3 linked regions of the Cricetulus griseus genome follow. The protein of the gene in region 1 interacts with the protein of each later gene in a biochemical or structural test. Links are inferred from orthologs where the notes say so. Each region holds a gene or a part of one and is shown in the gene's direction. Other genes may lie near its edges. The genes, in order: Cul3, Kctd17 and Dcun1d4.

Region 1 (4,139 bases):
GTCTATCATAATGTTTAACACAGACTATTAAGATATTGTAGTACGCAGGGCAGTGGTGGTGCACGACCTTAATCCCAGCATTCGGGAGGCAGAGGCAGGCGGATCTGTGAGTTCGGGACCAGCCTGGTCTCCAGAGCGAGTGCCAGGATAGGCTCCAAAGCTACACAGAGCAACCCTGTCTCGAACCCCGGCCTCCCCCCGACCCCCCAAAAAAAGGGGAATAAAAAAAGATGTGGTACATTAGGCACTCGTTTTATTTCGATACAAACAAAAACCGGTTTTCACATTAGTAGGTTCTGGATCCTCCAGAAAATACCAAATTTACCGACAAACCCAGGAGCTAGCGCAGTGCAAGCAAGGAAGCCTGGTCGCCTCAGTTGTGAGGCGTTGCAACACCTAGCTCGATATAGGACATCAGCTTCTCATTGGGCACAAACTCTGCTTCCAAGTTTCTGGCTGGGGCTCAAGTACCCATCCCTAGGCCACGTGCCCTAGAAAAACACAGCCACAGTTCGAGGACGTTGAGCCGCCCCACGGGCACCCACGCCCTTGCCTGGGACTACCTGCAAGGGGGCTCCGCCGGGCGGGCGGGCGGGGGCCACGGCGCTGAAAAATCCCAGCTTGGCTCCCGGAACTTCCCCCGCCCACTGCCCACGTGACACATCATCTTCGCCCTCCACCAATCAGCGGCCGCCCCCGCCTACCGGGGGTCTCGGACGCTCCTCTTTTGAAAAGGCAGCCCACGCCTCCTGGCCCCGGGCCCCGCCCCTTTCCCGCCCCCAGGACGCTGCCCGCTGTCATTCCTAGCTCCGCACCCTCCTCCGCGTCCCCGCCCCTTCCTCGCGCTCCCTCCCTCCCGCCCTCCCGGCTCCGACCCGCGCCCGCGCCGCCGGCCCCTCCCGCGCCGCGGCGCGGCGCGCGCCGCCCCGAATCTCGCCGAGAATCTGGAACGTTGCCGCAGGCCGCGCGCTTCCCGCTTCCCCTCCCGTCCTCCCGCCCCCTCCCCCCATCTCTCCACTCTCGGCTCTCCTCCCTCCCTCCTCCCCCCTCCACCCTCTGGGCCGGATCTCGTCTCGCTGAGGCGGAGGAGGAGAAGGAGGAGGAGGAGGACGTTCGGCCTGCGCAGTGAGATGTTTGTCCGTCGCCGCCGCCGCCGCCATCGCGGAGGAGCGCGATAAAGGGAGCCGAGCCCGGCGCGAGGGGAAGCCCGCGAGCCGCCGCGCCAGCGCAGCGCCGAGCCCGAGGCCGCCGGCCCGAGCCGCCGCCCGCCGCCGGCGCGGCCCCGCGCAGGGGCCGGCCCGCTGCCAGCCGCAGCCCGGGGGCCGCGCCGCCGCCCCCGCCGAGCCCGCGGCCGCCCTCCCGCCTTCAATGTGACACCGGCGCCTCGGAGTGCGAGCCGCCGCCGCAGCCGCCGCACCCGCACCCGCCGCCGCCACCGGGGAGGGGCCGAGCACCATGTCGAATCTGAGCAAAGGCACGGGCAGCCGGAAGGACACCAAGATGCGGATCCGGGCCTTTCCGGTGAGTCGGTCCTCGGCGCCCGGGACCCGGAGCCGCGGCCGGGAGCCGCACGCGAGGCCGGGGCTGAACTCCGCCAACAGGCCGCAGCCCGCCTCCCCTCACCCCACGGCCGCCGGTGGCGGGGCGCGAGCCTTCCAGGGCAAGCGGGCGGCGCGGGCCGGCGCGGTCGCCACCGGGCGCGAGCCGGGCCGTTCCTGACGCCCCGGTCGCCCCGGGGCCTCCTTCGCGCCGGCCTCGCTTGCCTCGGCCCGAAGGGGACGCGCGCTGCCGCCGCCGCAGCCCTCGCGTGGGGCGTGTGTGTGTGTGTGTGTTTGTGTGTGTGTGTGTGTGTGTGTGTGTGTAACTTTCAGCTGCTGGTTTCCAGAAGGAGCCGGCTGGGCTTGGACGGTGGTGGGGAGGACCGTCCGCCTCTGCCCCCTCCTCAGTCAGGAGCCGTCTTGCCGCCCGCCTGCCCCACTCACTGACAGAAATGCCCGGTGGCTAAAGAGCAGCAGCAGCACCGAGCCTAGTATTTATAGCATCTTTGATCCCGCAAGCCTCCTGAGCGCTTCACCAGACGCTCCGCTCCGAGGAGGGCCGGCCAGGCACAGAAGGAGCTGCACTCTCCTGCTTTTCCATCTCTTAGCCAGGGAAGTCCCCAAGAATAGTCGCCACGCAGGCTAGTTTTACCTTGTACGTTTCTTTTAGCGACAGCAAACGTTTTTCTCTTGAGAAACTTTTTTTTTTTTCTCTCTTGGCGTTGCGTTGAGTCATATAGGCTTGCGGTGTTTAGTAGATGGAGCCTAACTTCGGATGTCATGCCTCCATCAGACAGCCAGTGGCAGGCAATTAAAAGGTCCTGTTGTAACAGAGAAACTGGACATACTTGCTCATGTCGCTACAGTAACAGGTAAAAGTCAAACGGGCAAACCCGCAGTCGGGCAAGTCCTCTTAAAAGTAAAACCAAGGAAAGTTGTTGTTTTTCTCTTCTGAGGCTCATAAGCATTCTGTCGTGTGGGTACCCTTTGCAGTGAGGAAAGGAAAGACAGACAGACCACAGTGTTGCCCGAGTTGAGTAACTTTGTCCTGGAGAACTTGAGGGCCACTGAATTCTTAATGTCAAAAAGAAAAGTATACAACTGATGCAGAATTGTGAATTTGCAAGGAACATATTGAAACTTTTATGTAAATAAATGGGGCCTATGTAAACAGGGTGGGTACAATCAGGAGGAAGAAGTATTTTGATATTAATTACATTATGAACGATTTATTTTTACATCAGAAAGTGAGAAATGCTGGAAAGACAACACTGATAAAGTTCACTACTATGTTTTCCTTTGTAATTGGGCAGTGGCCTGGGTTTATGAATTTGAGTAATAAAATTTTCCTCCTGAATCCACCATCCAGGTGATTGTCAAGTCTGATCCCTCCCCCCCCTTCTATTTTTTGGGGTGTGTGTGTCTTTTAATGAAATCGTGACACTGGTTTTCTAGGAAATGTTTGCTCTTGGTGCTGTTCTTTCTTGAAGTCTTTGTTTGGTGAGATGTGGAAGACCTCCTCTCTGACAAGTTGTATTCTGTCTATCTGTGCTTGCACCTCTTTGACCTCCTCCTCTCCCTGCTAGCACCTGTTTTCCTCTCCCATCCCTTCATTGCTCCAAGATACACTGAGTGCTGTATGCAGGTACTGTTCCTGGAGCTTTAGGATTTATCAGTAGATGTGTAAAGGCAAAGATCTTTGTTTTCTGGAGCTAGTATTAGGGATTAAAAGCAGGAGAGAATTTTATTCCATTAGCTGAAGATGATAATAGTGTTTGATAGGTTAGCTAATACATAGTACGGGAACAGAGATTTGTTTTGTGTTTTCGTTTTTTTCCTAGTTCATAAGTATAAATAACAGTCAAGGTAGTTCCCATTGAAAATAATCAGCCATTGTTGGGGGTAGATAAGGCTCCAGTGATATTTCATTGACTTCTGGGAATCAGGTCCTTAGACTGTCAGACTTTCATCCAGATTAGTGGTCTTGTCTAAAACTACAGCCCACATCAACTGCTACTCAGAAGTTATAAATAGTATTTCACACACACAAAAATACCACTTATGCTTATGTGTGTATATTCCTACAACTGGTGTATGTTACACTATGTGGATATATAGTTAGCTGTAACTTATGGCAAACCGTAGGTTAATGAAAAATTTCAGTTGCTCATTTCAGGGTCGTCCCCCCCCCAAAAAAAATTGATATGTAAAAGGAATGAGTGAGTTTGGATTTGTTTCATTTTCACTGTACAGTAGTGGTGAGTTACCTTACAGAATATTTCATATATACGAGAGTATTGCAGATAAAATTTTACCAAACAGGTTCTCTTTGTATTTTTAGTGTATATTTTAAGTTTGTTTTCACATTATTCAGCAGAGTGAAAGTTACACTACACTAGCTTAATGCACAGCTTGAATTTTTTCTGCCCCCACCCCCAGTTTACATTTTTAAGTAAACTTACAAAATTTAAGATTAAGAATTTCTGTACTTGAACTGTTAACAGAAAAAATTGTTGATTTAATTTTTAGACTTACTTTTATTATATAGACTATAGTTTATTTTACATCTTTTTGTTGGTAAATTTTTTAAAGTTTTTTTTT
Region 2 (3,644 bases), about 57 Mb from region 1:
AGTCCTACTTTCCCCCAGGCCTTTTGGGTAGCCTCCCTGAGTGGTTTTAGGAGCCCTGTGGGCTCTGGCCTAGGCAGCATTCTTCCAAGAGCTCAGTTGGCAGCCAGCCTGTGGGGAAGAATTGAGTCAGGCCCAGTACCCTTGGGCCTGCAGTAGGGCCCACACAATAGGCATGATCCTGGCTGGGAAGGTGGAAGCTGTGCCCATGTGCAGGAGTTTTAGGAACTCTGGCTTCCCGTGTGTTACCACCCAGCCCTGCTGTAATCCCCTTGCCATCCTCCCCCCATGCCAGTGGCTGGCTCCTCCCTGCAAGAGTGCAGGGTACCCTGCTGCTCTGCCTCCCTTTTGTCACCAACCTGGCCCAGGCTGCCAGACACTGTTGCTGGCATCTAGATCTGGCTGGTGACTACCCTGGGACAACCTTGGCTTCCTGCTCTGGCTCCACCCTCCCAAAGTAAGGCCTTTCCAGGAGCCCAGTGGCTCCTCTTCCAGTCCTCCCCATAGCCGGACTCTGTAACAGCAGCCTGGATGGTCTCTAAGCATCTTTTCTGGGCTAGGGAAGACGCACCAGCTGCTTTGGCTACTGCCCTCCCTTTCTCAGAGGTTCCTTTCATCCTGCCTGCCCCTCTGTCCTGAGGTCGGGGGTCCCTGCGGACAGCCGCCCGCAGCCCCGCCCCCTCGTCAGTGTCTCCACTCTCTCTTCCCTGGTCGGCGGCGGGTTCGCAGAGCACGGACGAGCAGCTGGAGGAGCAGCGGCGGCAGGAGGTGGAGGAGGTGGAGGTGGCCCAGGTGCAGGTGGAGGCGGATGCCCAGGAGAAAGGTGCAGCCCGCCCCCAGGAGGACGATTGCTAATGACAGCCCGGGCCTCCCGCCCTCTCCCTGCTGGAGCAGCTGCCGCCGGGAACTGCGGGGGCGGGCCACCAGGGTTAGCTCAGCGCCTGGCGCCTCGCCCATAACCATCCCTCTCTCACTTTCTCTTGCAGCCCTGTCATCTCAGGATCCCGCTAACCTTTTCTCCCTCCCACCACCGCCTCCTCCTCCTCCGCTTCCTGCTGGAGGTCCTGCTTCATCTTCATCCACCTCCTCTTCCTCCTGGATCTCATCTGCACCCTGCCTCTTCCCTCTCTGCCCCTGCCCAGGTTTCCTCTCTGCCTGCTCCCGTCTCCACCCTGGGGCTGCCCTAGTCCCAGTGTCCCGTGCCCTCTCCCCGGGCCCCCTGGCCCTGCATCCCCAAGCATCCTGCCTGCCGCCTCCTGCGCCCCTTTCGGCCCCTTCTGCCTCCTGGCCTGGGGAGGAGGGGCGTGGCCGCATCTGCTCTATATCCTCCAACCCAGCAGGGCACCTCTGAGGCTGACCTTGGCCACAGGCCCCACTCTTCCCGCTTGCCTCCTCACGTTTCCTCCTTGCAGGTCCCTGTCCGCACCCTCCCAGACCCAAGCCTGAGCTTGCTGTGAGAGCTCCTCGGCCCCGCGCCCGCCCCCAGAGCTGCCGCCCCTGGTTTGTAGCCTGGCAGAGCTGGAGGGAGGGGCGGAAGCAAGGAGGGTGCTCATATCTTGTCCTTGGACTTGAGCCGAGCTTTTGGCTGATTCTCTCCACTCACCAAAGTCTCTCAGCTTATCTGGGCCTTGGGGTGAGGCCCTGAGAACTGAAAAAGTCCAGAGCTGGAGTGTCTTGTACCTGCCTGCCTGTAGTCAGTAGGCCCTGGAGCCAGGCCGGGGAGGAGAGGACTGGCCTCTGCCCCATCACGCATGTCTAGAAGCTCGTGCCACACTGCATGTGGGTACTGTGTCCCCTAGTTCTGTGGAGTGGGTGCCAGGCCACATGTGGTGTCCCTTGGCTAATGAGTTGGCAAGAGCCTGCCAAGGATTGGAGCGTGGCAGGAAAAGACCTATTCTCTGACAGGGGTGACAATAGGCCCCAGTCAGACGGATCTCCCTATGTGACCTTGGGCAAGTCACTGCCTCTCTCTGGGCCACAGTTGGATTCTAAGATGGTGTGGACAGCTGCTTTCGGTGTCCCCTTTCTGCCTGGGAAAGCAGTGATCTGTCCCTCCTAACGCCCCCCACCACCAGGCTGCCACAACCAGCCCAAGACTGGCAGTTTCTCCCCTCCTCAGTCCTGACTCCGCCTTCTTTGGGCCTCAGCCCCCCCCCCCCTCCAGAGCCAGCCTGGACTCACTTGCCTTTCTCTCTCCCTCTCTCCCTCCCTCTCCCACTCTCCCCAACTTTCCTGTCCTGGCATCACCCTATCCTCACCCCCACCCTGGTTTTCTGACCCCCTCTCCTCTTCCTTCTGTCCCTCCCCTCTCTTATTTTCTAGCTATTACAAGCCAGAGGCACCCGGATGTGAGCCCCCAGATCACCTCCAGGGACTTGGGGTTCCGATCTGAAATCCTTTATTTTTGTACCACGGGGTGGGCCCCCGGCCCGAGGAGGAAGACTTGCCCTCTCCCTTATCACTGCTGCCTGCATCTGCTGGGCTGGGACTCAACCCTGCCTCCAGGCCCAGGCCTGGGGCCCTCTGGGACCTTGGAAGGCCTGAGGTGGGCCCTGGTGTGTCCAGGCAGAGTCATCTGCCCATGGCCAAAGTGTGGCACTGCCCACCCATATCTCCCAGGCCCGTTTGTCCCCTCGCCTGGGCCCCCTTGCTGCATGGCGGATCCACTCCCTCCCAGCCCAGTCATAGCACCTCCTTGAGCCTCTGTCTCCATGGCACCCCTCCTCCCACCTACCTCACAGGGGTGTTGTGAGGATCAGGGAGGAATGGGGTTCCTGGAGCCCTAAGTGTCTAGGGCTGCAATCGTTACTTTTGGGGGGAGGGAACTCTAGCCGAGCCCCCAAGTGGGACACTATGGCTTCAGATACTGGTGGGGGACAATGCGAGGACTAAGCCAAGCAGGAAGCCAGGTACAGGATTGGCATCACCTTGGCTGCCCTTCCCCTTTGCCACCACGTGTTTGGCAGCAGAGTGTGCTAGCGAGTCTTGAGGCTGCCCAGGAACTTGTGATGGGGAAGGGGACGGGTGTGAAAGGGGCTGAGCTGCCCCTCCCATGTCTTGACCCCTGGGATGGGCACACATGTGCCAGCTGTGTCCCACTCACCATGAAATAAACCTGAAACCAACAGGCTGGCCTGGCTGCCTCCCTCTTTCTCTGGGCTCCTTTGGGGAACAGGGCTTAAACTCAGGTGAGGTAGACCTGCTTTTTCTGAAGCCCCCTGTCATTGTCACTTTCCTGGGTGTATGACTAAGTCCTGTACTCAGGAGTCAAAGTTGAGGCTACTTGGCTCTGTCAACTGCTCTGCTGTAGCCTAAGCCATGGGCTACCCCTCTCCTTCCTGCTGGGCCACCTCACCCTCTTGCCCGACTCATCCTACTCCCCATCTTTGTGAAGCTACGCCACTGGCGTCTGGGTGTCCCTACACCTGGCAGGGGCCAGGGCACCCTCCTGCCAGCTCACAGCTTGGAGAACACCACCACAACCCTGAGACATGCACTTCCTAAAGGTGAGCTCCCTTTTCCAGTCAGCTTTTCAGGAGCCAGATGGAGGCTTGATAAAAGATGTGGTCCTCCTTCCCCACCTGGTTTAAGATTAATGGGATAGGTGGAACCCCCTATTTTAGCAGAAGCCCCTAGGACTAAGCATT
Region 3 (3,644 bases), on another chromosome or scaffold:
CTGCTGTACGTACCGGCTATGACCAGAAGCCCCTTTGAATGTCTTTCCTAAACAGCAAGTTGCTCTGCCTTCTTTCCCCTTGTTAGCTTGTTGAGTGAGCCTCACATGGCTGTGTCACTTTAAGTCCTTTGAAGATAGGTGGCCTGGATAGGAAATTCACCATATACTGAACAGCGCTTCTGTCAAAAGGTGCACATGGCCAAGGGTGTTTGCAACGTGGTTCCTTAATGTGGTGAGGTGAATAGTGACATTCTACTGTAGTGGGATAACTAAGCACCTCCCCTTTTTATAGAAAAATCCTCTTACAGATTTCCGCTCTAGTTGATGGACCACATGAAGGAGTGCTGTAGATGTGTGAGATTGTCTCCTGTGTCCAAGAACACATCCCCTCACCTTATAGGAATGGACTCGCAATGTGCAGGAAAAATACAATGACAAGTAGAACCTTTAATTACAAATAAAAGTGGAATAAGCTTCCTTTGTGTGTGTGTGTACGTTCTGTTTCCTAGTAGTCACTAACCACTGTGCTAGAAGTCATGCATGCCACATGCTAGGTAAGCTGTGTGGAGATAAGAGTCCCTGTTTCCCTAGACAGGTGGATGAGCTTGTCTTTTGATGGGGAGAGATGCTCCAGGGCACCAACCCTTTCTAGTTGAATTTAGTTCCAGTATGTCTAGGTAGAAGAAAAATATTTACCACACAAAATAAAGCTGTTGGAAAAATGAGTCTCTGAGGAAACCCAGTCCTAAGCACTGAAAAGCAAACCACTTGGACTCCACTGAGTTCGCCTGAGGGCTTTCGGATCAGCAGTTATAATTTTGGTAATTATCATGATGTAAGCAAGCAGGTTATGGTTCTTATTTGCCTAGGAAATGATTGTAGCTACCACTACATAATGGATTTGCCACTAGGGTAAAGTTATTCACATCACTCTTTCTCAGAATAAATTTGTATGTGACACTCAAATGTCAGGCTTTGCATTGTGTTTGGCTACCATTTCCTTAGTTCCTTCAGAGTTTTATGATGTGTAATAAATGAGCTATTTACCAATTTCTCGTTGAACTGAAATACATGTTTGGATTGTTAGAGTTTGTGATTTAGAAGCATCTGGCTTACCCTTGTTTTTATTTATTAAACAGGAAAAGGACCAGCGCAGCCTAGACATAAACACTGCCAAGTGCATGTTGGGACTGTTATTAGGAAAAATCTGGCCCCTTTTTCCAGTTTTTCACCAATTCTTAGAGGTACCAAATTATTACTTTATGAAATGTATGTTTGCTTGCTTAGAACTACCATATATTTCATCTGTTTTGTGTGATTACTTTTTTCTTTGTTGTAGCTTTCTGCTCATAGAAATTATGGTTCCCTGATTGCTGTCAATCAGCAGCTGCATATCTTGGGGAGAGTGTGTGTGTGTGTGTGTGTGTGTGTGTGTGTGTGTGTGTGTGTGTGTGTGTTAGTAGTAGTTTGTGTACGAACAGCCAAGTGCCCCTTCTCTCCTCTCGGCCCCTTGTAGGAGAGACTCCACTGGTATTAGACTCCCAATAGAAGTCAAGCTTTACTTTCTTTCAGATGAATTTCCAGTTTTACGCCAACATTAAATATCAGCCACCTGCCTTTCACTGAAAAGAGTTTGTGATTTGTTCTTAACGGCTTTCATCTCCAAGTACCTACCGGAGTGCTTGGATAGCTGTGAGCCCTGGATTAGGTGTGCCCACAGTGTCTCCTTCAATTTAAACGTGCTTAACCAGGTGGCAGAAACAACCAACATTTCCTTACATCGTTGCTGTTTGCTTTCACAGCAGGCCACAATTTTGGGCTGCCAATAATTAGTTGTGGGTTTTCTCCAAATGTCCTTTGGCAGAACCTGGAGGAAGCAGAGAAGTATTTGAGTTGCTTGGGCTGTCTGTCACATGTGGCATCTGCCTTGGGCCCCCTCCTACTTGAGCCCTTTTAAACATGGCCTTTGGTTTCAAGGTTGAGTATAGAATCTTTGAGAAAATCCTGTGTCTTGCCCAATTCCAACACCCACTTGAAATAATCTTTCTTTACAACTTGCTTTATGTAGTGGCCCATAATACTTAGCAATCAGTGTAACCTTTGAAGATTGTTACTAGAAGCCACTTGTAACTACTAACTGGCACTCCATAAGAAAGCTAGTAAAAGCTGCTCATCAATACAATACAAGTACATGTTGATGCAATGGTGCGCTCTCCCTGGAGTCTGTCCCAGCTTCCCTGTCCATCACTGAGAGAAGCCCTCACTATTGGAACAGGAGTAGGAAAGAAATGGGCTTTTTGTTTGTTTGTTTTTCAAGACAGGGTTTCTCTGTGTAGCTTTGGAGCCTATCCTGGCACTCTCTCTGGAGACCAGGCTGGCCTCGAACTCATAGAGATCTGCCTGCCCCTGCCTCTCGAGTGCTGGGATTAAAGGTGTGCACCACCAACTGTGCCTGGCAAGAAATGGGTTCTTGTACGCAGTGAGTCTAGTAGGATTTGAACCTTCAGGTGAGGAGCCCTTTGGCTTCGAGTAAGTTTGACATTGCTCAGTACCAGGAACACTACTGGCTGTTTTGAGACTGGTTTCACTTTTCATGTTTCAGAAGTTAAAGTCTGTGCTTTTCTCTTGCTAAGTTGGTGTTTTTCCCTTTAGAAGGAGGCAGCAGCATGCTCACTCCAGCCTGTCCTTTGCCTGCATCTTCAAAACTGTTGGCTTGACTCTTTGCCCTTTTAAAAAGATTTACATTATTTTACTATTTTTGATTTTATTTTTTTTTTCTATTAGGATTTTTTTTTTAATGTTAGCTCTGGATTTTGCATTTGAAACTCTAGGATACTGTGTTTATCTACCTGTAGCAGATTTCTTGTTTAAGAGTGATAGAGTAATCACTTCATGACTGTCCCAGTTTCTTCTGTGATGAGAGTCATGGAGGAGCTAGCTCCCAGCTCTGAGCCACTGGCACCAAGTAGCCACCTGATGCATGCACTTGAAGCCAGCAGCTTGGCAGTGAGCAGGACTGTTGCATTGGCTTGTCGCTGAGACTTACTCCTTGCTTAGCACTTGCTTTCTGCCAAGTATTAGACGAAGTACTTTGTATAATCTATGTAGGCCTCTCATTTATCTTTGCAGCGTTGCTGTGAAGGACGTACCACCACTATGTGTCCTTATAGTGATGTTGTAATGAAAAACTCTCATTTTAAATTCAACCCTTGTTCTGTCTCACCATTTCCCCGACCAGTGCTTCAGTTGAGTTAGCCCTACATGACCTTTCCTAAGTTGGTTCATATAGAAACTGAAACCATCCCACTTGTTAATTTTGTGTCATTAACCACATTACTTTCTCCCATCAGCAATCAAAATATAAAGTGATAAACAAAGACCAGTGGTGCAATGTGCTAGAGTTCAGCAGGACAATTAGTCTGGACCTCAGCAACTATGATGAAGATGGAGCGTGTGAGTACGGGGTGCTGAGTCATCCCTCCTTCCTCCCAGACCTGGTACACTGCACATCTTCCTCCCTGGGAAGACCTTCCAAGCCATGTACTTTCTTTTACCTCTCCCCTCACCCCTCTACCTCTCTCCTACCCCCCCCATCTCCCTTCTTCCCTTCCTCCCTTCCCGTTGGGCCTAGCTCCCCATGCATG

Evidence for each region.
Region 2: the proteins of Cul3 (region 1) and Kctd17 form a complex in vitro, tested with the Homo sapiens proteins (3 studies listed by BioGRID). The link is inferred for Cricetulus griseus from reciprocal best matches to the Homo sapiens genes CUL3 and KCTD17.
Region 3: the proteins of Cul3 (region 1) and Dcun1d4 form a complex in vitro, tested with the Homo sapiens proteins (2 studies listed by BioGRID, with this or other methods). The link is inferred for Cricetulus griseus from reciprocal best matches to the Homo sapiens genes CUL3 and DCUN1D4.

Annotation. Positions count from the first base shown.
Region 1 is NC_048595.1:432,991,596-432,995,734, reverse strand, and holds the start of Cul3 (cullin-3), read left to right. Parts: upstream 1-1,327; 5' UTR 1,328-1,455; coding exon 1,456-1,521; intron 1,522-4,139. UniProt on the Homo sapiens protein: Core component of multiple cullin-RING-based BCR (BTB-CUL3-RBX1) E3 ubiquitin-protein ligase complexes which mediate the ubiquitination and subsequent proteasomal degradation of target proteins.
Region 2 is NC_048595.1:375,539,454-375,543,097, forward strand, and holds the end of Kctd17 (BTB/POZ domain-containing protein KCTD17), read left to right. Parts: intron 1-726; coding exon 727-820; intron 821-983; coding exon of another isoform or gene 984-1,348; exon of another isoform or gene 1,349-1,409; coding exon of another isoform or gene 1,410-1,497; exon of another isoform or gene 1,498-1,666; intron 1,667-2,319; coding exon 2,320-2,696; 3' UTR 2,697-3,127; downstream 3,128-3,644. UniProt on the Homo sapiens protein: Substrate-adapter for CUL3-RING ubiquitin ligase complexes which mediates the ubiquitination and subsequent proteasomal degradation of TCHP, a protein involved in ciliogenesis down-regulation.
Region 3 is NW_023276807.1:140,060,895-140,064,538, forward strand, and holds part of Dcun1d4 (DCN1-like protein 4), read left to right. Parts: intron 1-1,139; coding exon 1,140-1,244; intron 1,245-3,350; coding exon 3,351-3,453; intron 3,454-3,644. UniProt on the Homo sapiens protein: Contributes to the neddylation of all cullins by transferring NEDD8 from N-terminally acetylated NEDD8-conjugating E2s enzyme to different cullin C-terminal domain-RBX complexes which are necessary for the activation of cullin-RING E3 ubiquitin ligases (CRLs).